3 linked regions of the Zea mays genome follow. The protein of the gene in region 2 interacts with the protein of the main gene of each other region in a pairwise test. Links are inferred from orthologs where the notes say so. Each region holds a gene or a part of one and is shown on either strand. Other genes may lie near its edges.

Region 1 (4,209 bases), on a different chromosome or scaffold from region 2:
AACAGAAAAACACAATCGCAAGGAGGGGGAAAAAGAACTTGACTTTGAACGCGGCATAGCAGTTTTCCAAGAACCTAGGGGCTCCATGCATTGGAGAACAGGTCTACGCGTACACAGAATGCAATGCAATATAATGGTCCGACTCATTATTCACCGGTCAAGGGGCTCCGTCTGGTCCATGATGACCTGGCCCTCGGACACCTCCGCGAGTGACCGGAGGTTGCACTTGAGCAGCGCCTCCACGAAGTAGCAGGTCTCGTCCTTGGTGTTGCCGTCGGGGACGTCGACGACGAAGGACTCGATGACGAGCGTCCCTGGCCGGCCGTCGATGACCTCCGGGTGGACGGTGAGGATGGAGGAGTAGTTCTGCGGGCAAAGGAAAAGGAAGGTGAGATGCAGCAGATCGATGAATTAGACTAGTCGTCAGCTTTCACACACGCTGGCGTTCTTGCAACCAACCCAAGGGGGTCAGGGCCGGATAAACTTATATCCAGGTGGCGTCCATCGTCCATTATCCAGGTGCAACGCATGTGAGTTGTGACCATGGGCCACTTGTTGCTATCGCTGGCTGATGACGAGTGAGGGCAAACGGACGGAGCACGACAAGCGACAGCGAGTGACAGGTGCTCATGCGATGAACTTGGCATGTAAGGTCAAAGGATGGCAAGTCAGTGCCATGCTTGGAGTTGAGAGCATGCAAACATCACCCGGTACATAACAACAACAACAACCGCTGCTTGTTTTCTGGTTAGATAGACGACAAGAGTTTGTTGGGGGGCTATCACTCGAGGATGGCATCGTCGCAGGGCAGCACATCAAGATGCATCTGGCAGAGGAACTCCAGGACGCATTTGAGGTGGTGGGCAAAATATCTCGCATGGGCAGCACAGAATATAGATAGATGAAGAACAGAGCATACCTGCAGCCTGTGATCGCCTCCAACGAACCTGACGCTGAGAATGCGCTCGTCGTCGTCTAACAGCTCGAGCCTCTCCGTGCTTCTTGTGGCCGGCAGCCCGGACTTGACGTTGACCTCCCTGACGCTACCGATCTCGATGTTCCCCTTCATCTCACACCGGCTCACGAAGGGCTTGAAGAGCTGTGGCTGGTCGAACCGCCTCACCAGGGACCAGACCTGAGAGACAAGACAATTACTCGATCATCAGGCACTTCAATGTATGGTTAAGCTTTAAGCAGGTGACCAAGATTGATTAATCCACACTTTCAATGTAACAGACGAAGGAATAAACAGGTCCCCGGTTGCTTGCTATTCAAGTAGTATTAAGTGTTCTGCATAAACACCCTAACCGACCGGCTAACTGCACAGCTCGACCAGGCTCAGCTGAACCATCGCCAGGAATTGTAACAGGAAAAATGGCATGAACGGTGTACTGTCTACAAGTCAACTAAACACGCTTGAGGAATATGACATCTCTTCTAATCAGAGGCACAGTACACAGTTATAAAATGAGGCCTAGAGCCCTTGAGGTTGCTAAGCATATTCACAAGCATCCTTTTGGAATATGCTGAAAACTTGGGCTGGAAAGTCAGCCAGAAACGATGGTTCCCTCTGAAACAGTAATCAATTCAGTGCATCGCATCGCATAATTATGCAAAAGCTAATGTGTTTTTTTTGGGTAAGATTACTAGTTTTGCATCTGATCTTGTGCTGAAGCTGAACCACGTCCAAAAGGAGTGGAGTCCAAGTGAAGTGAAGCGTATCTCCCTCCCTCCCACCACCACCACCGCCGTCTGACCGTCTCGATTACTAGATTACTTGCAGAATAAAGCGGCAACACTTCAAAGCCTAATAACGCGGGGGATACAGGCCAGCAAAACAATGCATGAGCAGCTAGATAGAAATCTCAAAGTAATTAATCTGGCGGAAAGCAGATTCAGCGAGCGGGCATCTCGCGAGGTGCGGGTGGGGGGGAAGCATCTTCCCACCCACGGTGAGACGAGGTTACAGTACTACAGAACGGCGAATTAAAAATCGTCGAGGCTTTTCTGTGTGTATCATTTGCCTTTGCAACCAATCATGCATCTCTCATGTTCATCTCGCGAGAGCTCAGAAAAAAATTCACAGGCGGTTTCTTGGCAGGAAATGCAAATCTTAGATTTCGGCTAAAGCGACGTGGGTCCTCCCAGCAATGGATCCGCCCGACCAATCGCGTGAAAAGAGAGAAAGGATGACGACGGGAGAGACGAGCAAGCAGAAGCAGAGCAGGGCCGGTTCAAGTTCAAGACGGCATCCAAATCGGGCATCCTTGTTTCCTAATCAAGGAGCCGCGCATCGGCACTCCAAAACCGGGGGCGCCGGGCGGCGGGACCCGGCCAGACAAAAGGAGAAATCGAGAAACCGATCGAAACGATGTCTCGGCGGCGGATCGACTGCGCGAGCGCGACACAACACCCTACATACTCTCGCCATGGAAACGTGGAAACGGCACGGCGGCGCGGAGAAAAAGCATAGCAGAGCAGGCAGTAGGCGAGGGATTGATATATCTGATTCAGCGGCGTGGAATGGAAGGAAGAGATTGAGAGAGAGAGGCAGGCGCTCACAAGGTGGACAGGCGCCTTGATGTGCTTGGCGACGGCGGAGGAGCACTGGTGGTCGCGGGGCTCGTGCCGGTGGAACCGCCGCACGTAGTCCGTCTCCATGGCGCGCAGGTCGCACCGCTCGTCCGCCAAGCGCCACCGCCGCGGCGGCGGCGGCGCCGGCGTCTGCGCTCCTCCTCCTCCTGCTGCTGCTACTCCCACGCCTCCGTCCATCTCCACCACCATCACCGCCGCCGCCGCAAAGCCAGACACAGCCACCACGCTCGCAGCCTCGCACAGGCACAGCCCGGTAATGGAGGCGGCAGGGGCTTGTGTTCCGCACCGAGGAAAAGCAGACGACGAGGTGCGGAGCGAGGAGGTGGGGTTTTGCCTTTGCCTTTGCCTTGCTTTGCTTGTTTTGTTTATGCCGCGGCGAGACCGCGAGGGCGATGGCGATGGCGAGGGCGAGAGGGAGAGAGTGACGACGACGACCCCTGGATGGCACAAAGGCCGCAGCCTCAGGTGTGGTTGTTATGCTATTGGGTGCCGCTTACAAGCAAGGGCCTACTAGAATTAGGAATGCCAGATATGCCCTCCGAGTTCGCCACTTTTGCTTCGGTTTGCTCGTGAAAACATGGATGGCCGGATGGCCCCATGGCGGACGGCATTATCTCGTTGCCTTTTTTTTGGTTTGGAGATAGGTGTAGACATGTTTTTTTTCTAAAACAAGGCCCCATGCACGTCGCATAATGGTGTTGTTAAGCTATCGGAGAGCAATGTACGAGCAACTCCAATAATAATTATCTAAATTTTAGCTTTATAAATCACATATTTAAGAAGTTGTTAAATAACTTTGGGAGTTAAAAAGTGTAAGTTCACCAATAGTTTTATATTTATAGTTTTGTTTTGTATCTATCCATATAAAAATAAGTCACAAATATCATCAATTACATTCATTATCTATATAATGCAGTCAACATTTTTTTACGGAGTTGCTAAATAGTTGCCAAATGTAGAGAGAAAATGAGGCTAGATGAGAAGTTGCTAAATTAAGTAAGTTTATTTAAAGAAATGTTGGAGATGAGTTCTTATGTTGACTACCTAAATTATTGATTTAGTAAGTCTTTTAAAGAACAACGGGAGTTGCTCTTAGAAGGGATAATAGTTTAGCAAGTTGCTATGAAGGTTGGTTCTAACTGCGCGATTTTATCGATTGCTGGTGTTGGTTGGTTACGTCGATCGGTCAGTACCAACCTCGTTGTGCTAGCGCCGAGTACCGATTGGTCTCATGGATAGTCGATCGGTTGGAGATACGAGAGCGATTATGATTTGTTGGTTCGGTCAATACCAGCCGTCTTTAGCGATGTTGGACGTTTTGATTAGTCCACATGTGTTACATCAGCTAGTCTTTTTTAAAGAGTTTGAAATACAATTTTTTAAAAAAAAATATATGGAATGTGGTCTATAAATGAAGGGATGTTTGGTTCATTCACACTCCCCACTCTCTATTTCTCTTCTATCACTCTGTATATCAGTCCTCTCACTCTCCTTTCACTTGACCAAACCACCCTTGCCATGTCTTCCTCGGGCTCGATGTGGCTCGATGTTGAGATGACCGAAGATGAGGTACTCAATATGTCGCATCAAACTATGATGGATGTAGCGGTGAAG
Region 2 (3,997 bases):
TCCGACACCCCGGAACACCCAGCTCCTGTCAACCAGCCGCGCCATGTGCGAGCGGCGCGCCCCGCCGTAGCACTCCAGACTCCAGAGGAGTACCAAAAGGCGCGGCGCAGGCCTCGATAATGGCTTCAACAGCGCCTGACCCGACCGGTCGATCGCCCAACGGACAGTCGGACAAAGGCAAATGCTCTGTCGCCTCGCCGCCCACGCACGACGCCGCGGGCGAAAGGTAACCATTGATCGTGGGTCGTCGCATCATTCAGGCCCAGGCCGCCCCTGTGGAAAGATGCCCGTTTCTCATTTCCGTAAACGAGAACTTCGGAGCATTTCCCTTCACTCGATAGACGACGGGCCCACACCCCACAGATAGATCAGCATCTTGCCGTGCCTTTGTTAATCCGTCTCCGAATCCTACCGCCTGCCTGGGCCAACCAATCGCAATCTGCTCCCGCTAAACGTGGTCTTAGCGCCAATTTCTACACCAATCGCCCCGTTAATCTACTTCAGTCAAAGAATGGAATCAGCACTTTTTAGCGCGTTAATCGACGGCCAAAAAAAGCTATGATTAACGATTACCACTACCTTGTGCATCTGTGTGCAATTCGATGTTCTATTTCCTTGGTCCGACTGGCTTTTAATTCCTCGTTTGAGAGAAGAAAAGCGTCTGGTTGGTAACTACTACAGTATTAATACTAAACCAAAACAGAACCTAAAAGTATGGAAGAAAACGGGGGAGAAATTAGCTTGGATTCCAAGAGGGCTAAAAAGGAAGGAAGGCAAATCATATCCCCCGGCGGAGATCCACGACGACCACGCTAACATTATCGGCGCTCCGCCGGGCCAGCGCCAGCTTCGCCAGCAGCATGGCCGCGTCGGAGCACGCCTTGTCGGAATCCTCCACGCTCACGCCCTTGGCGGCCGCGGATCCGTTCTCGGCTGCCCGGAGGGCCGCGCCGTTCGCCCGAGCGGCCGGCGCCGGCGGACCGTTGCTGTGGAAGCACGCGCGGACGACCTCGCACGCCATCTCGTTGGTCACGACGTCCCACAGGCCGTCGCTGGCCAGGATCAGGCACTCGTCGTCGTCGGTGCGCTCCGTCACCGTTACCTCCGGCTCCGACGACACGAACGGCTTCAGGTATCCGTCGCCTGCACGCGCGCGCATAAACCCGTCAGTTCAAGTCCAACGAGTGGACCCAAAACGACCCCGAATGAGCCCAGCTCACCTATGGCTCGAGACATGGCGAGGACGCCGAGAACACGAGCACCGTCCCAGTAAATGACGCGGCCGCCCGCCGCCTTGATGCGCGCCAGCTCGTCAGGCCGGTCAGGCTGAACGAATCAGGAAGTTGAGCACGTCAGGCTCACGGACAGGCGACGAAGACGCGGGGAGGGGACAGGGGAGGAGGCGCAGCGCCCTCAGCCCCGTGATGCACGAGTATACAGACCTTGTGGTCGACGGACAGCGGAACGGGGACGCCGGCGCGGGATAGGACGGCGCGGGAGTCGCCGGCGTTGGCGACGACAACGTGGGTGGGGCTGACGACGGCGACCACGGCGGTGGACCCCACGTGATCGCAACGCAAGGGCTTCTGCTGCTCGCACCTGCAGGAGGGCTCGTCGCGGCTGCGGCTGGTCGCCCAGCTGGCGGCCTGCTCGTCCAGTCGCGCGAAGCTCCTCTCCATCACGGCCTTCCACGCCGTCTCTTCGCCAGAACAATCTGCCTTCCTGTGCTCGTCCGCGACCACCTCGTGCATCATGTTCTGGCACATGGTTGCTACCTACAGCAAAAGCGCGAAACTGCGATCAGCATACAGAACTCCGCAAAAGGGATTTAAACTCCTAGATGCGCGCGCGTCGTGTACGAGTATGGCGTACGTGGGAGCAGCCGTGGCCGTCGAAGACGCCGAAGAAGTGCTGTTTGCTGGTGCCGGGCACAAAGTCCGGCCTAACGGAGACCGTGTCCTCCATCTCGCGGCGTCGGCCGCAGACGGAGGTGACCCCGTACCTGGGCAACCGCTCCGGTAGGGCAGGCCTGTCGGAGTCCGAGCCCGAGCCTGAGCCCGCGTCGGGGCAGGTGCTGGACAGCGTGCGCGCCAGCCTCTGCCGCTTGGCGGCGCGGACGTCCTCCGCGACCGGCGCCTCGGGATCGCCCGCGACGCGGAACCTCCTCATCTCCAACCTGCGTCGCCTCCTCTCTAACGCCGAGGAGGCCACTGCCACGGCGGCGGCCGCAGCGGCCGTGGCGGAGACTGAAGCCGCAGCCACGGCGGTCGCCGGCGTGGACTTGGCTTCTTCGCAGCAGATCTCGGCCATTGGAGGCGAGAGCAAGCGGCTGCCTCCCAGAAAGGCGCGTACAGGCGCGTCTGGCAAAGCCAAAGGCCTCTCTAGATTAACCCTCGGATATTGGCGAGAGGCCTAAACGAAGCACGCTACGCTTCCCACGCGAAGCAACGCAGGCGACGCCCTCCTCCTCCACTCCGTCCCCCGGAAATGGATGCAATGGCAAAATAGCAGCAGCAGGACAGCAGCGCGGGCGCGAGGCGAAACGAGCACGAATGCTTCGTGGGGGCAGTACAAGAGAGGCGAGGCGAGGCGGGCAGGGGCAGCCGGGCAGGGGGGCCGTCGCCGTCACGGGCAGCGCCTCGACACGTACAGCTGTTGCGACGTGCTCCTGGTCCGGCGCACCGGGGCCGTCCGTCCCGGCAGGATCCGGACGCGTGCCGGTATCTTGCTCAGCGCGATCGACACGTGGTGTGCATCGGCCACCGAGGCGGGCGAGGTGCGGGCCCACGAGGAAGTTTGATGGTGTGTTTATCGCCTAATCCCTGTGCTGCACACACGTGGCGCTCCTGGGGTGGGTGGGGCAGTCCGCCTCGGCAGCTGATTTATTGATGCCTACTATTGCGGTCCCCACCACATGGGTTCTGTCTCTCGGGCTGCCCAGAAAAATATCCGGACTCCACAGTAGTACGTACTCTTCCCTACCGCTCTTTGTTCAGGATTCGATGACATGTGGGGACTGGCTGAAGCGTCGCCCACCTGCCAGCGAGAAAGAGAGTCTCAGGGCGGGAGCACGAGGGAACGGGTGTAGTGATGGAGAAGGGACACGTGGTTGGGGCGGTCGCAATCAGTGGGAAGGTGGTCGGTCGCGGTACCGGTGGACACGTGTACAGGGCTTGCGTGGGGGGAGGCGGGCCGGCGAGCGGTGGTTGGGCGCTGGCGTGGCCACGATGGGGGCGAGGGGAGGTGAACCTGGGAAAAAGCGAGGCGCACGCAGATAGGAGCCACGCCGTGCAGAGATGAGAGAACTGCCGCTGCAAGATGCAGGGGGCGCGGCCGGCCGCGGCTGACAGTCCGGTGTGCGGTGTGCCGCACGTTGCGGGCTTGCTGGTGCCTGCCAGTGCCGAGCGGCGGTGGCCCGGTGCACTGCATGCGGGCAGGCGCCGAATGGGGGGCAGCTGGTGCATGCTGAGTCACCGCTCGTCGGCTCGGTTCGGTATGGGGGAAACTCGGGCCGGCGCGCACTTCCACGGCGCCGCGAACACGCGTCATTTTGGTTGGTAACCGTACACAGTAGCTCGGCGCATGTACGTACTACCAGGTACGTACTGGTAATAGAGTGGTCGCTGCAGCAGGTAGTACCTGCGGTCTGTCAGTGAAGTGGTAAAGCAGCCTGTGTAAGGGCTGCAACCACAGTGATCGCCATTCTTTTCGTGCTCGCTTCGGATTTGCTATGATATGGCAAGCATGACAATGAAAGCGGGTGAAATCAGATCAGCCGGCTATGTTTGAAGAGTCTATTATTCACCACGATACATATGGTTTGAGATAGATTATATATAAATTAGTTTAATTTACGCCTCAATTGTCTTTAACTCATGTGTATTTGGATGAATAATAGAGTATCCAAATAAGCTCTCAATGCGCGTCGATAAAATTACTCTCATTTCATTATCGGGTGCGGGACTGTTGTGTAGATGCACCACGTATGCGAGTATAT
Region 3 (4,074 bases), about 1.4 Mb from region 2:
CCGAGCCCTGGGGTCAGGCGGAGCGGAGTTCGCCGTCTTCCGGGTCTTAGCCCGAGTCCGAGCCCTGGGGTCGGGCGGAGCGGAGTTCGCCGTCTTCCGGGTCTTAGCCCGAGTCCGAGCCCTGGGGTCGGGCGGAGCGGAGTTCGCCGTGGCGCCTTTGGCAAGGCCTGACTGCGTGTCAGACTCACTCTGTCGAGTGGCACTGCAGTCGGAGTGGCGCAGGCGGTGCTGTCCTTCTGTCAGACTGGCCAGTGGAGCAGTGGAGTGACGGCGGTCACTTCGGCTCTGCCGGGGGCGCGTGTCAGGATAGAGATGTCAGGCCGCCTTTGCGTTAAATGCCCCTGCAATTTGGTCAGTCGGTGCGGCGATTTAGTCGAGGTTGCTTCTGAGCGAAGCCAAGGCCTCGGGCAAGCCGGTGATGTGTCCGCCATAAAAAGGGGGCCTCGGGCGAGACAGAAGTCTCTCGAGGTCGGTTGCCTTTGGCCGAGGCTAGGCTCGGGTGAAGCGTGATCGAGTCACTCGTGTGGACTGATCCCTGACTTAATCGTACCCATCAGGCCTTTGCAGCTTTATGCTGATGGGGGTTACCAGCTGAGAATTAGGCGTCTTGAGGGTACCCCTAATTATGGTCCCCGACAAAACTAGGATAGTTATAAGTGACCCAATTATTCCTCTTCCCCTCTTCCTCCCTCCCTCTCTCTATCTCTCCCTCTCTTGGGTAACATGGATACCACATATTCCCTAAAATCATATTTAAGGTTTTAAACTTAAATGTGGTAATTGTTTCTACAAATGGTATTTAGTTTCATGTTTTGTTGTGTTTAGTAAATTGTAGAAGAACCAACATTAACTAGATTTTTTTCTACTATTGTGAAGGTCCCATAGAGTGGAATCAGTTTTTTAGAGAGACCATAGGCAGGGATAACTATCAAGCAACATGGAACAACTTGTTAATTTAAAGCCCAATAAAGCTTCATCCTTTGGTGGTCCCAATAAAAGGTGTGTGGTGGGTAGTGCCGCCCACGCGGATATGCTAATAACCCTCCTTGTACTCCAGAACCTGCCTTTCCACACATAATGAGCATACCTACAAGCCATATTCCCATCCACATTCATCCCCCAACACCCACTCGTCCACCCACCGTTTTCCTTGTCTTCACTTTCCTCACGCAATTCACCCACCCCCTCACCATTTCCCCCATCGACCATTGCTGCCACATACCAAACCCACTTCCTGTGGTCTTCGGTGTCTTCCCCGCCGCCGCCGCTGCCGTCGCCGTCGTGCATCACACTGTCCCTCTTGCTGTGATATCTATGAGAGGTATGGGACTATTGACACCCTTCAAATCGTATTGCTAGTAAATTCTTTGACAAGGATGTTGACTGCCAACTGTCACTTCTACCTCACCACCTATCTTGATGTTGCTATGATTGGGGACCATACCCCTAACCTCAATAGCCATCAGATCTATCTCCCCTATCCACCCAAAATCTAAAGCCACTACATCTAATCCCAAAACCTAACCACACTTGAGTGCTACATGTCAAGGATCACATTTTTTATAGAAAACAAGTGCCCTCTTATTTAACCTTTACCCCTATTTTTATGTACTGCATTTTGTTTTTTCTTATTTTTCTACAATTTTTATGGAATAGTGCTATGGTTGAAATTACAAATACTTGAATTAAGTACAATTTATATAGACATCTTATAATGGGACGTTGGACTACATTGTTACCACACACATCCATATGTTTCCAGTTTTTAGAATTTGAAGGGGCACCCCTGGTCCATTAAATTACTTATCATGACCAAGAAATGGTTCTAGTAAAGCATTATAGTTCAAACTTTCAAAAGAATCTCCCTCTAGTAGTATAGAATGATTACAAAGATATCAGATCATGACATTGTGCTAGAGGCCATAATTGCAGGTTAGCCAATCTTTCTTCTATTATGTATTGTGTTAGTGCTGACCAAGCTCCCAAACATGTCTTTGGTCATGGTCCATTCATTAGGAGTCATCCATGCCATCTTGCGAGTTCCTCTATTCTAGAGATGGCCTTGTATTGTTGCATGTGTCCCAAGGGGCACAATTGCTCCAACAGTTTGAATATAGATCACCATAGTTACTGCAAAGAGCTTAATTTCTTGCATAGAAAGAATTGAGTTATTTGAATTTCCACAAGCTTCATCTTATAAAAGAGCATAACATGTTCCTAACTGTGATTTTCTCTCTCTCATACATCCAGGTTCTTTCAATGGATACATACCCTTAAATAGAGCATATACTAGTTCATCTCTTCCTTATTAAAATAGATAATGGGATCAATTTGGATGACATCCTCCTAATTTATAACAAGATACTCTCTTGACATACCTTAAAAGTACATCTAAGTCTAGACCCATTCCACAACTCCACAATAGTAGCAATCTGCCCATGCATTAGTACAAAAGTAAGGGTCCCAAAAACTTATACCAAGGTTAGATGAGTCTAGCCAATAATTGTCTTCCCAAAATCTCATCCTTTTCCATTTCCAATCTTCTATTTGTACCCTATTTTAGCTACCTAGACATCCAAACAAAACCCTTCCAAAAGATGATAGTTGTTAGTATCTTTACATGTAAGGCATTAGGGATTGTAGTACTATATTTGAGGTCTATGATTTGTTTCCATAGTTGGTCATCTCCAAATCGTACCTTTTTACCCAAGAAGCTAATGGAATAATATTACGATGTCTCAAGTCAGGGACACCAAGCTGACCATACTCTTTTCTAAGATAAATAGTCATCCAGTTAACAAGATGGTAAACCCCATGACCTTCAAATTCAAACTACAACTAGTGATCCATGTAGGAATTGATAAGCTAAATTGTCCACTTGAGAAACTTGATGAAAGATCAAAGGTACATGGACCAGTATGCTAAGCATGTTTTCATCAAAATCAATCTCCTGCTATATGTGAGAGAAGTCACCTACCTCTCCACCTTGCAACCTTTTAATAATTTTGACATCAATTGGATGTATATATTCTCTCCGCCTCCATTTGCTTCTATTTTCACAGTCAATATTACTCATCAGATGGTGTAGTATGATATAAGCACCACAATCAAGACAATAGTATATATGGTGCTCTAAAGGCATTGTTTTTATCTTACTAGATGCATATGTAGTTATCAATCATTTATCTACCTAGCCATGTGATTAAATACCTCATGTATGCATAAAACATTATGCACTCATGAATATATTTTAAGCTCATATTTCATTAATATGTCACACATGGTAGTCATTGCTAGCTCCAAGTTGAAAACATTTCTCCTATTATTTTGATTAAATAGGAGGACATGGGCTACTAAAAATTATTTAAAAAACTAGAGCATAAAAGTGCATAGTTCAAGACACAAAAAAGTCAAAATGAAAACCTAAGGAATTACAAAAAGGCTTGTAGCCATAAATCGATACTTGGATTATAACGTGTTTTTGCTCTAAGAATAACTAGAGCAAACTCTTTCCTGAAAACTACCTTGCACTTTGGAATTGAAAGCACAATATTGTTGAAAATGTTGTCATTACGCATTATCCAAAATGGCCCAACACATCTCGATTAGAATCTCCATGAAGAAAGAAAGATGAAGTTGATCTCTAACACTTCCAAATAACCACTATTAGGGAGTATAAATAGATTCAGAGAAGACAAACAATCCAAAGCAAAAGGGTAGTCCAACATAAGGTGAAAAAGATCCACTTCAACATCTAGTGAGCAAATGATGCAATTGCAACAATCTAAATGCATGTTTTTATATTTAAGAAGCGCTATATTACTCAACTAATTTTTTAGAATAAGGCAAAAGAAGATTTTTTTTATTTTTTCAAGCAAACTTCCATGACCGCTTGAAGGCTTGATGAATGTGTTGATATCATATAAGCAATTTATAAACTGTTCTTGAGGAGAAAATTTGTGATCCCCAAATGTATCTCCAAATCATTGTCTATTTGTAGATGTACTATAAGGAGGGTAGTGGAGAAAACTTGAAATTATTTGTATACCTCAATAGATAGAGGTAAATAAGAGT

The links.
Region 1: the proteins of Probable protein phosphatase 2C 9 (region 2) and uncharacterized LOC100272864 interact in binary tests that used the Arabidopsis thaliana proteins (3 or more experiments, as listed by UniProt). The link is inferred for Zea mays from reciprocal best matches to the Arabidopsis thaliana genes HAI3 and RCAR3.
Region 3: the proteins of Probable protein phosphatase 2C 9 (region 2) and AT-rich element binding factor 3 interact in binary tests that used the Arabidopsis thaliana proteins (3 or more experiments, as listed by UniProt). The link is inferred for Zea mays from reciprocal best matches to the Arabidopsis thaliana genes HAI3 and PYL6.

What each region holds. Positions count from the first base shown.
Region 1 is NC_050099.1:232,111,120-232,115,328, forward strand, and holds the start of uncharacterized LOC100272864, read right to left. Parts: upstream 2,903-4,209; 5' UTR 2,785-2,902; coding exon 2,563-2,784; intron 1,136-2,562; coding exon 782-1,135; 3' UTR 367-781; coding exon of another isoform or gene 151-366; 3' UTR 1-150. UniProt on the Arabidopsis thaliana protein: Receptor for abscisic acid (ABA) required for ABA-mediated responses such as stomatal closure and germination inhibition.
Region 2 is NC_050103.1:174,999,871-175,003,867, forward strand, and holds Probable protein phosphatase 2C 9, read right to left. Parts: upstream 2,573-3,997; 5' UTR 2,311-2,572; coding exon 1,873-2,310; intron 1,776-1,872; coding exon 1,443-1,775; intron 1,327-1,442; coding exon 1,221-1,326; intron 1,144-1,220; coding exon 779-1,143; 3' UTR 643-778; downstream 1-642.
Region 3 is NC_050103.1:176,436,336-176,440,409, reverse strand, and holds the start of AT-rich element binding factor 3, read left to right. Parts: upstream 1-1,230; 5' UTR 1,231-1,314; coding exon 1,315-1,321; intron 1,322-4,074. UniProt on the Arabidopsis thaliana protein: Receptor for abscisic acid (ABA) required for ABA-mediated responses such as stomatal closure and germination inhibition.